2 linked regions of the Arabidopsis thaliana genome follow. The protein of the gene in region 2 purifies or fractionates together with the protein of the main gene of each other region. This does not show direct contact. Each region holds a gene or a part of one and is shown on either strand. Other genes may lie near its edges.

Region 1 (5,531 bases), on a different chromosome or scaffold from region 2:
TCTATAATAAAAAAATTATAATTTTTTTTAAAAATTATTAAATTAGGAAAATCTCTTTATAAATTAATATTTATTGATTTATTGATAAATTAATACCTCTCTAAATTAATAAAATTTCACAGTCCCAACATTATTAATTTATAGAGGTTTTACTGTATTCAAAAAATATCTCTTATATTATCGACAACTATTTGGTAATTTTTATTAATTTATTGATAAATTAATACCTCTCTAAATTAATAAAATTTCACAATCCCAACATTATTAATTTATAGAGGTTTTACTGTATTCAAAAAATATCTCTTATATTATCGACAACTATTTGGTAATTTTTTAAGCTAAGTTAGGGATATATTAAAAATAATCAAACAAAAAAAAACTAAAGATTAATTTGGTGTGAATGGTTCAAAAGAGTAATTTAACCAAAAGAAATAATAATTAAAATGGTGAAATTATACACAACCCACCCACTAATCTATAAAAAAGAAATAGGTTCCGCAAACTTGTTGCGCATTCACCATTCTTTTTCTCAATTCAAAGGCAAGACACATAGAGCAAGAGAGATATAAAGAGAGAGATAGAGATAGATGAGATGGAATCTCAAAAACAAGAAAGAAGCGTGAAGGAGATGAAAATAGTCACTAAGATCATAGCATTTGCATCCATTTTCTCATTTATACTATCTTACTCTTCCTTAATCTCTTCTCTTCAACAAAGACTCCATTTGCTTGCCATGTATAGCAATCTTGTGGACAAGAAGTACATGTTCTTGTTATGCAATGGGATTGTGGGCTTTATCTTGGGGAGTTTCCATGGGAATTCTGACTCCCTTTCGCACGGTAAAGCCATTAACATCGTTGAACAAACCAAAGAAGTAGGGATCAAAGACTTAAAAGAAACAAAAGTCAATAAAGTAGTGGCATTACTTGAAGAAAGTAATGTTTCTAAAGAAGAAGAAGGAAGAGTTGTTTTATCTAGAGAAGAAGAAGAAGAAGTTGCATTGGTTGTTAAGGAAGATGAGGGAATACTAGTACAAGACCTCTCAATCACTAGACTAGATGATCATGATGATGACGATGCGATAAATGATAGTTTATTAAGTTCAGAAGATTTGAACAAGAAATGTGAGGATTTCATCAGGAAGATGAAGGCAGAGATTCGATACGGCAAGAGAAGTATATAACTTTTTTGAGTTTTGTTAACAAGTTAAACTGTCTTTAGTATTCATATTCGGCAGGAGAAGTATATAATTTTCTCTCTTTGGACAAGTAGATTCTGTATTTTTGGTGCCCACTTTTATGTATGTCATCCATATGAATCCATGCAACATAATGCTTTCTATATCAAGCATTATCAGCTTACTATGTTTTACTCTCTTAAGCTGAACTGAATTCACTTTCAGCTTCAGCATTCGCATAATCATTTCGATTCATCTTCTCTGTACCAGCTAAACTTAAGAGTGTGAAGCAACAGTGACACACAACATTTTGAATGGATTGCGAAGAAAGACAAACTTATGCAACAAGAACACCAAGGAAACCAACAATAGAGATATTGAAGAACAAAATATAAAACAGTAAGTATCTTGCAACAACAGTGATGTTTTATCACCAGAAGTCATACGTCTCACAAATTGGAAATACAAGCCGGAAAAAAAAAAAACAAACAAAGCCTTAGATCCTATCGATATCTTCGTCCTCAAACTCAACATAGTCATCATCATTATTATCATCATCATCCTCAAGATCACCAACAATTCCTTCATTAAGACGAGTATTCTCTGGAAGCTCACCATAAGCCTTAAGAAGCCTAGCCTCATCAGACATGTACTTAAGGATCACATCCGCTTTGTCATCTTGGTAATCCCTCAAACCAACAAGCACAATATCACCTGCTGCAATCCAAACCTTCTTATGCATCTTACCACGGATATGGCAAAGACGCTTGGTTCCATCGATACACATAGCTTCACATCTTCCATTTCCAAGCATACGAAGGACTTGTGCGTATTCTTGTCCATCTTCTTTGAATATAAGCTCTCTCTTCTCGTCATCTGCTTCGTTCTTTCCTCTCTTCCTGTTCTTTCCTCCCTTTCCCTTGTTCTTCGGCATAGTATCTACATACCAATCATACAAATGTTCAGTTAAAAGTTCTTCCTTTAAACATGCAAAGCAATACTCTTCTCTCTTATAATCTACATAAGCCTCTCAAACTTAAAGGACCAAAGCAAAACAAATACCAAAACAAGAACCTTTAAATCGCAAATGAAACCTAAAACCAAAAAAGAGACTTAACGATTAAGCTAAGCTATTAGATTGAATCAAAGTGACAAACTTGAAGAAACCAATCTAGGGTTTTCAATAAAAATCGTAACTTTGAATTGGGATTGAGCAATTTCGCATGAAAAATCAAAACTTGACAAGAATCAAACAAAACCCAACAGTTTCTGATCAATAATTTCTAGATAAGGAAGATCGATCGGCGATAAAGACTTTCGCCGCCGACGCAATTACTGAAAACCCTAAAATCGAGAATCAGGAGTAAGAGACGAAAGAAGAACACGAAGCTCACCACTATGGAACGATTCGAATCTGAGATTAAGCTAGAGAAAACCCTTGGAAGCGATAGATTCAGAGATATCTGTTGAATTTGGGATCAAAAGTTTTGTAGCTTGCGGCTGCGAAAATGTTCTCGATATCTCCAGAAATCTGTTTATAATAAAAGTAAACGTGTTTTGATTGTTGCCCTTAGTTTTAGGTTTTATTACGGAACCTTACCACTCATTCAATCTGAGTATCTGACATTTGGTTTGGTTTAGTTTTTCGATTTTCTATTTGGTTGGATTGAAAAATCGTTAGTTCGGTTTGAGTATTATATCAATTTTGGATCTAAGACCGTAAAACCTTTCTTAAAAAAAAGAAAAAAAACAGTTAAACCTCTAAAAATTATAATATTACAGTAAAATTTCTATAAATTAATATTCGATAAACTAATAGTTTTTATAAATTAACAAATTCTTCCGATTTTGAGTTGTAACTATAGTAAAAATTAATACAAATCGATAAATTAATAAAATAATTTTTATTAAAAAAATCATTGTATAAAATTAATATAATATGCTCTCATCAATATCATAAATTAATAATTTTATAAATTCCTTAAAATATATATATATAAGAAATTTTAGTGAAACATAACCTTTGCTATATTCCTTTTTCATTTTTAATATTTTTACTACATTCAAAACTCTTTTTGTTGTTGTCTATACATAATAAATTTTAATTATTTTGTAATTGGTTCTAAAAAGATAATAATTACAAATAAAAAAAATCTTTTTTAGAAAAAATCTTTTAAAAATTACAAAATTAGTTTAAACTCTCTATAAATTAATAGTACTTTTATAAATTAATAAAATTTTATTGTATGATGAATAGTTGAATACCTCTATAAATTTTGTTACAAATGTTGGATACATATATACAAATTACAATCTATACTAAACCAAATTAACCGAAAAACAATCCTAACCAGCATTAAACCGGAGCTATACATATGTAGTAGATCAGTTTAATTTGGTCTCACTCAATCCCAAGAAAAAGGCCGTTCTTTGCATTTTCTATCGTTTCATGTCTGAGTGACAGAGGAAACCCCAAAAACCTCCGTAAAACCTCACAAAAGAATGCAGCTTTCTTCTTCGTTTCCAATTTCACCTCCCAAAATCTTCCCTTCCACCAAACACCATAAACCTCCAGTGATTACTCACCAGCTCGCCGCACAGATACAGAGCAACCGTAGACATTTCGTGAGTCCCGTCAAAGTCTCTGGCTATTTCTCATCGATTAGCCGAGCTATTGAGGAAGAAGAAGAGTATCGGAAAGCACGCGCTGCAGTGAACCGTAAAGGTGTCGAATTGGAGAGTTATGCAATTGAAGGGATCTCTGTAGGTGGGCACGAGACTTGTGTTATCGTCCCTGAGCTCAAATGTGTCTTTGATATTGGGAGGTGCCCTTCTCGTGCTATTCAGCAGAAGTTTCTTTTTATCACTCATGCCCATCTTGACCATATCGTGAGTTGTTCAAAATTTGAGTCTTTCTTCAAAACCCTCTTTAGATTTCGTTTAAAGTTTCGGCCTTTTGATTGAATTGTGGATGAATCTTAGTGTTGAATTGATGATACATTTTAGTTCAAAATAGAGCCATTGTACTATGATTTGGAAGGATAAGGATTAGTTTTGTTGAACATACTTTTAGATTTGGTTTGATGTTTCTGCTTATTGATTGAGTTATGGGATCTTTTGTATGAATCTTGTGGCTAAGTTTAGTGTTTTCTTCAGGGAGGGCTTCCAATGTATGTAGCGAGCCGTGGTTTATACAATCTTGAGCCACCGAAAATATTTGTGCCACCATCTATTAAAGAAGATGTTGAGAAACTTCTTGAGATTCACAGGACTATGGGTCAAGTAGAGTTGAATGTAGAATTGATACCACTTGCTGTAGGTAATGACATAGTGACTTGTTAAAAGCCAACCTTGTTTAGATAGCGAATCTGAGTTCTTTGTTGGTGGTGGCAGGTGAAACATATGAGTTGCGCAATGACATTGTTGTTAGACCATTTGCAACTCACCATGTTATACCAAGTCAGGTACTACACATCGTGAATGTGGCATGAGAGCGTCTTTTTTTTTTACTGATCTTGAGTTCTTTTAGGGTTATGTCATCTATTCGGTCAGGAAGAAGTTGCAGAAGCAGTATGCTCACCTCAAAGGAAAACAGATAGAAAAGATTAAAAAGTCTGGCGTCGAGGTTTGTTGCTTATAATAAGCCATATTTCTGATATTGAGGTTTGATAAAGTACAATAATATTGAACTTAATTACAGATTACGGACACGATATTATCCCCCGAGATAGCCTTCACTGGAGATACAACTTCAGAGTATATGCTTGACCCTCGTAATGCTGATGCGTTGAGGGCAAAAGTTCTTATAACTGAGGTACTTACTTGAATCCTATTGGCGGTACTGTTATATCATTTTAAAACTTCACTGGATTATGTTATAGTTTCTGAGCTTAACCGATCTGGCAGGCAACTTTCTTGGATGAAAGTTTTAGCACTGAGCATGCGCAAGCACTCGGTCATACTCATATATCTCAGGTACGATCCTATTTATGTTCAAACACACCTGTAAAAAGCACACTGTAAGAGGAATTTTCCATGAACAAATTGCAGATTATTGAGAATGCAAAGTGGATCCGGAGCAAAACTGTATTATTGACGCATTTCTCATCACGTTACCATGTAGAGGTGAGAGTCTGAATTTGGCTTTCATGTTCTTAGTAAAAGTTTTAGCCCCTTATGTTGTATTTCATCTTAATACTTGTGGTTGCAATGGCAGGAAATCCGTGAAGCTGTGCTTAAGTTGCAATCGAAAGTATCCGCAAAAGTCATTCCTCTTACAGAAGGTTTCAGGTCAAGATATTCTTAAAAGAGCTTAAAGGATATTGCAAGCAAAAGTAGGCATTTGAAACATCTT
Region 2 (5,681 bases):
TAGAAGCAATCGGAAACGAAAATGCAGAGGAGAATTTATTGTTGAAACTGAGAGATATTACATAAAATCAGAAATATGGGTTTGGCTAAGTTTGGTTTGAGCAACAGCAATCTCAGCTTGAGTTTTGGCTAATTCATTCTGAGTTTTCTGAATCTGAGTTTTAAGTAAATGAATAATGCCAACACAACCATAAACAGGATCATCTACTCTGCATTTTGCTTCAAAGCACAAAGATTCCACTGCTTCAGCTCTTGTCTGATCAGGAAGTTGCTGTCAAAAAGATCACCAAAATCCAACCATGAATACACTTACTTATATATATGCATAAAGTGTGATCTTAAATAGGATATTAGAAGAAGATACACAAAGATGTGTATAGATATATATACCTGAAGCATTTTGGAAACGTTTCCAGCACCATAGATTCTGTGGACACATGCAAATTTTTGAGGATCGTTTGGAGGGAAATATGGTGAGAATACGCAATCTTTTGGACATCTTCTTCTCAGATACTTGCAAGCTGCACATCTTTTTGGATTCATCTCAGATTTTCTCAGACACAAATATAAACAAATAACACAAAAGAAGAGATTGTGAAATCTTACACAAAGATTTAGCTATTTGTATTCCTTTTCGTTTCCTTTCTTTTCCAATAATCAAACGGCTAGTTTCCAGTTTCTGAAATTTGAGAACATTTACTTAAGGTAAGACTATTTATGTTGATTCTCACTTAGACTAATTAGACTTTATATTACCGTTAACATTACTGTTAAGGCAATATTAATGTTTAGCTAATTCTCAAATAGGCAATAAGAAATGTCTTCAAAATAGAGTATAATGAAGCTCAAATTTCTCATACATTTTAACATAACTGTTTCAGAAAAACTTAAAAGCGGCAACAGAAGATAATAGAGAGAGACAAAGTATATCAAACAAAAGTTCATAGTCTTTCTTTTTTTCCCCAAACTTCAAATCCTTCTTCAGATCTTAAACCACATTTTCTCTTACTTAATCTGAGTCTTCATAAACTTCACCATCGGATAATTCATCGAATGTCCTCATATCAAGCTGGTACCGCAACAATCCACCAATACCGCCAAAGCCTCTGCAAAATTGTGATCCTTCTTGGGACTTGTTAGTCACAAACTCAAGTGTACAACCAAAACGTTTATATTCGTTAGCAAACCATTCAAGCAGAGGCATCTTCTCCTGAACTTCTAACTCTGCATTAGTCTCTGCATCATGGAAATTGCTTTGGTTGTTCTCTTGATCCTTTCCCAAATGCTTAATCACGATTTCTCCGGTCGTGTTGTTCTTTAACTCATACCTATTAATATCTAGATTCTCCCACACTATAAGAGTCTCAACAGCACCCATTTCCAGAGCCTTTAAAGTATCTTCAACACCGAAAACATATTTCCCAGTGTCTTGACTAATCTCCTCAAAGTACTTCCCAATCAATTTCTTTTCTTGTATGAACTTCACATTAGATAGAATCTCAGCAGACAGCTCAATTGCTTGGTTGAAACCATTCTCTCCTCCGTAAGAAACATCAACCACATTCAATATCTTAGCTTGAAGACGAGGATCAAACAGTTCTGATTGACTTAGCTCGGTCTTAAAATCCGCTGAACCAGCAAGTATAAGACCAGAGACATTAGGCTGACTCGTAGCTGGATTAATGTAAAACTGAGTGGCAAGCTCCGCGGTTTTCCTCACATAGTTATGTCTCTTCTCCATCCTAAGACGAGCAAATCGCAACGCAGATTGTCCTCCTCTTCCGTGCTTTTTCGGAAGATCGACAGTGAACTTATGAAGAACCTCTCTTGTATTCCCACTCAAAGTACCAAACAAAGTTCCATTTCCATCCATAACAATGAAACCAAACTTATCATCAGACTCCAAAAGCTCATTCAAAGGCTCGGTGTGGAACTTATTGTCACACAAATACAACGAAGCATTAATCGGTTTAAAAGGCTCGAAATCAATCGTCACTTTCTTCTCTTTACCATCATCAGTAACAATGGTTCCAGTATAGAGAACAAGACCATTCGGAGGAACTTTGTTGTAAAGCTTCAATCTTTGTTGAGCAGAAGTAATGGCAGATAAAACAGATTGACGATTCACTCGACTCTTGATGTTTGAGGCGGTTCCGTATTCATCAGCAAGCATCTTAGTGACACGAGCTACTTGATCTCTAGGAGGCATTATAAGAGAGATCATACTTGTTCCATTACCTCTTGCGGTTTCAAGTCCTTTGATTAGCTTCTTAATCTTCCAAATCTCAATGTTCTTATCTGATTCTTGGTCTGCCATGTTTTTCCTCCTTCAAGCTTAAAACAGAGCACGCAGCTCAAAATCTAAAACAGCAAGAAAAATCGAAACTTTATAAGAATCAGCTTGAAATTGAGATTTCGATTGATTTAAGTAGACCCAGATTGAAATTGGAAGATTAAAAATGAAAACTTTAACAAGAACGGATTGATTTGATACACAAAGAGATCGAAGTCGCGAAGATTCACGTACCTGCGTGTGTCTCTCTACTCTCTATCAGCGATTTCTCGACCCAGCAGAAATGAGACTCCTTTAGGTTTTTGTTCCCCAATGGGTTTCAACTTTCAACCACTTTTACCGAACACGTGACTCTCACGTGAAGAAGATATGAAGTAATTTTGATTCTGTGTTTTTTAACGCGGGACGGATTATTCACCCCAAATTAGAGTACTAAAATGAATGGGCTGTCATGTATCATTATGGGCTTGGCTTTAACGTTAAAAGCCCATTATAAACGGACAATGTATTTTTTTGAACTGACTTTTATTTTTCTTCCTAAAGAAAAGTAAAGTTCGTGTAAGCCCCTTTGGTGGTACATTGGTTTGGTTGACCAAATGTTCATTAATACACCTAGGGATTTGGAATTCGAATCTCAGATACTGTGATTTATTAGGAGATCTCCAACGATTATACAATTATAGCCGTTCGCCAGGATTCTACGCAAAAAAGATCATTAAAGGTGTTCATCAAAAACATGGAGAAGAAGAAGGAAGTGTCGAGAAAGAAATATCGTCTGTCCGAAGGAACCTAAGCCCATACGTCTGTTTAATAATTCTCATAATTTACAATAAATAATAAGTATAAGATGGAGAAAAAAAGTTCAATTTGATAAATTACTGATTTTATTATTTGGACTTAGTTTGGTCTGTGAAGCTTCTCTGGGTCAAGAGACTCAAACTCGGCTCCCTGTCAAAGGAAAGGAAGATGGTGGCTTAGTTTGGTCTGTGAAGAATGTGGCTAAGTCCAAGTCTCTTAAGGTTGAAGATAGTGTTTTTGGGTCTATTTCAGTTCAGACCAATGGGATCTCTCTCGGTTTGGATAAGGTCCAGAAAGGAGATTCAAGTGTTGGACAGTTTGCTGTAATCATTGATAATGCAACTGAAAATGAGGAGGTTGGCATTTGTTCAGGCACAGTTTGTGCAGTTGAGGATGATTCCTCTGACGTGTTATCTACTGACACTGAAGAAGAGGCTTTCATCAAGGTTTTGTCTAAGCGTCAGAAGAGGAATCTACGAGGCAAGGGCCTCAAAACCAAAGCTTAAGTATGTGTACTAAGCTCTTTTGTTGGAATGTTCGCGGATTTAATATTTCCAGTCACCGCCGCGGTTTTAAGAAATGGTTTCTTTTGAATAAACCACTTTTTGGAGGTCTCATTGAGACACATGTAAAGCAGCCTAAGGAGAAGAAGTTCATCTCTAACCTTTTGCCTGGCTGGTCTTTTGTTGAGAATTATGAATTCTCTGTTTTGGGAAAAATATGGGTTTTGTGGGATCCAAGTGTGAAGGTAGTTGTTATTGGTAGGTCCCTGCAAATGATCACATGTGAGCTTCTTCTTCCTGATTCTCCTTCTTGGTTTGTGGTGTCTATTGTTTACGCTTCAAATGAGGAGGGTACCAGAAAAGAGCTTTGGAATGAGTTGGTTCAGCTTGCCTTATCTCCGGTTGTTGTTGGCAGGTCGTGGATTGTTCTTGGCGACTTTAATCAAATCTTAAATCCGGAAAGTGCTATCAATGCAAATATTGGCAGGAAGATTCGTGCGTTCAGAAGTTGCTTGCTTGATTCTGATTTGTATGACCTCGTCTACAAAGGTAGTTCTTACACTTGGTGGAATAAGTGCAGCTCTAGACCTTTGGCAAAAAAGATAGATAGAATTTTGGTCAATGATCATTGGAACACTCTCTTCCCATCCGCTTACGCGAACTTCGGTGAGCCAGATTTCTCTGACCACAGCTCTTGTGAGGTGGTGTTAGATCCAGCGGTCTTGAAAGCAAAGCGACCTTTTCGGTTCTTCAACTATTTCTTACATAACCCGGATTTCTTGCAGCTGATTCGTGAGAATTGGTACTCTTGCAATGTCTCTGGTTCTGCGATGTACAGGGTCTCCAAAAAGCTTAAGCACCTTAAGCTCCCTATTTGTTGTTTTAGTAGAGAGAACTACTCTGATATTGAGAAAAGGGTCTCTGAGGCCCATGCTATTGTGCTCCACCGTCAAAGGATTACTCTTACCAACCCTTCTGTTGTTCATGCTACACTTGAGTTGGAGGCCACCAGAAAATGGCAAATTCTTGCTAAGGCTGAGGAGAGTTTTTTCTGCCAGAAGTCAAGTATCTCTTGGTTATATGAGGGTGATAATAATACTGCTTACTTTCATAAGATGGCTGACATGCGTAAATCGATTAATACAATAAATTTCTTGATTGATGATTTTGGTGAAAGGATTGAGACCCAGCAGGGCATAAAGGAGGGCATAAAGGAGCATAGCTGTAATTTTTTTGAATCCCTCCTATGTGGTGTAGAGGGCGAGAACTCTTTGGCACAGAGTGATATGAATCTGCTTCTTTCTTTCAGATGTTCTGTGGATCAGATTAATGACTTGGAAAGGAGTTTCTCGGATCTTGATATTCAAGAGGCTTTCTTCTCTTTGCCCAGGAACAAAGCTAGCGGCCCTGACGGCTATTCCTCTGAGTTCTTTAAAGGTGTTTGGTTTGTTGTGGGTCCAGAGGTGACTGAAGCAGTCCAAGAATTTTTTCGTTCAGGTCAGTTATTGAAGCAGTGGAACGCAACAACTTTGGTCCTTATTCCAAAAATCACAAACTCTTCAAAGATGACTGACTTTAGGCCAATCTCTTGCTTAAACACTTTGTATAAAGTGATAGCTAAGCTGCTGACTTCTAGGCTAAAGAAGCTTTTAAATGAGGTGATTTCTCCGTCTCAGTCTGCGTTCCTTCCTGGTCGTTTACTTTCGGAAAACGTCTTGTTAGCTACTGAAATTGTGCATGGTTACAACACTAAAAATATCAGCTCTCGGGGTATGCTTAAAGTGGATCTTCGGAAAGCGTTTGATAGCGTCAGATGGGATTTCATCATCTCAGCCTTCCGTGCTCTCGCAGTCCCTGAAAAGTTTGTTTGCTGGATCAATCAGTGCATTTCAACGCCCTATTTTTCAGTCATGGTTAATGGTTCTAGCAGTGGGTTTTTTAAAAGTAACAAAGGGTTGAGACAAGGTGATCCTTTATCGCCGTACTTATTTGTTCTTGCGATGGAGGTGTTCTCTAGCTTGCTGAAAGCTAGGTTTGATGCGGGTTATATCCACTACCATCCTAAAACCGCTGATCTCTCAATCTCTC

Evidence for each region. Proteins that work in one complex are often made in the same cells at the same time.
Region 1: the proteins of ERF1-3 (region 2) and AT2G04520 fractionate together in Arabidopsis thaliana (co-fractionation; one large-scale study listed by BioGRID). This does not show direct contact.

Annotation. Positions count from the first base shown.
Region 1 is NC_003071.7:1,573,129-1,578,659, forward strand, and holds AT2G04520 (Nucleic acid-binding, OB-fold-like protein), read right to left. Parts: upstream 2,833-5,531; 5' UTR 2,572-2,832; intron 2,117-2,571; 5' UTR 2,112-2,116; coding exon 1,674-2,111; 3' UTR 1,434-1,673; downstream 1-1,433. Other genes in the region: AT2G04515 (uncharacterized protein), read left to right, coding at 593-1,183; CPZ (Metallo-hydrolase/oxidoreductase superfamily protein), read left to right, coding at 3,680-4,066, 4,334-4,496, 4,571-4,641, 4,707-4,802, 4,878-4,991, 5,084-5,152, 5,228-5,302, 5,394-5,483.
Region 2 is NC_003074.8:9,785,489-9,791,169, reverse strand, and holds ERF1-3 (eukaryotic release factor 1-3), read right to left. Parts: upstream 2,940-5,681; 5' UTR 2,527-2,939; intron 2,361-2,526; 5' UTR 2,317-2,360; coding exon 1,009-2,316; 3' UTR 719-1,008; downstream 1-718. Other genes in the region: LBD23 (LOB domain-containing protein 23), read right to left, coding at 58-270, 390-542; AT3G26616 (uncharacterized protein), read left to right, coding at 3,029-3,065, 3,208-3,596. UniProt on the Arabidopsis thaliana protein: Directs the termination of nascent peptide synthesis (translation) in response to the termination codons UAA, UAG and UGA. Modulates plant growth and development.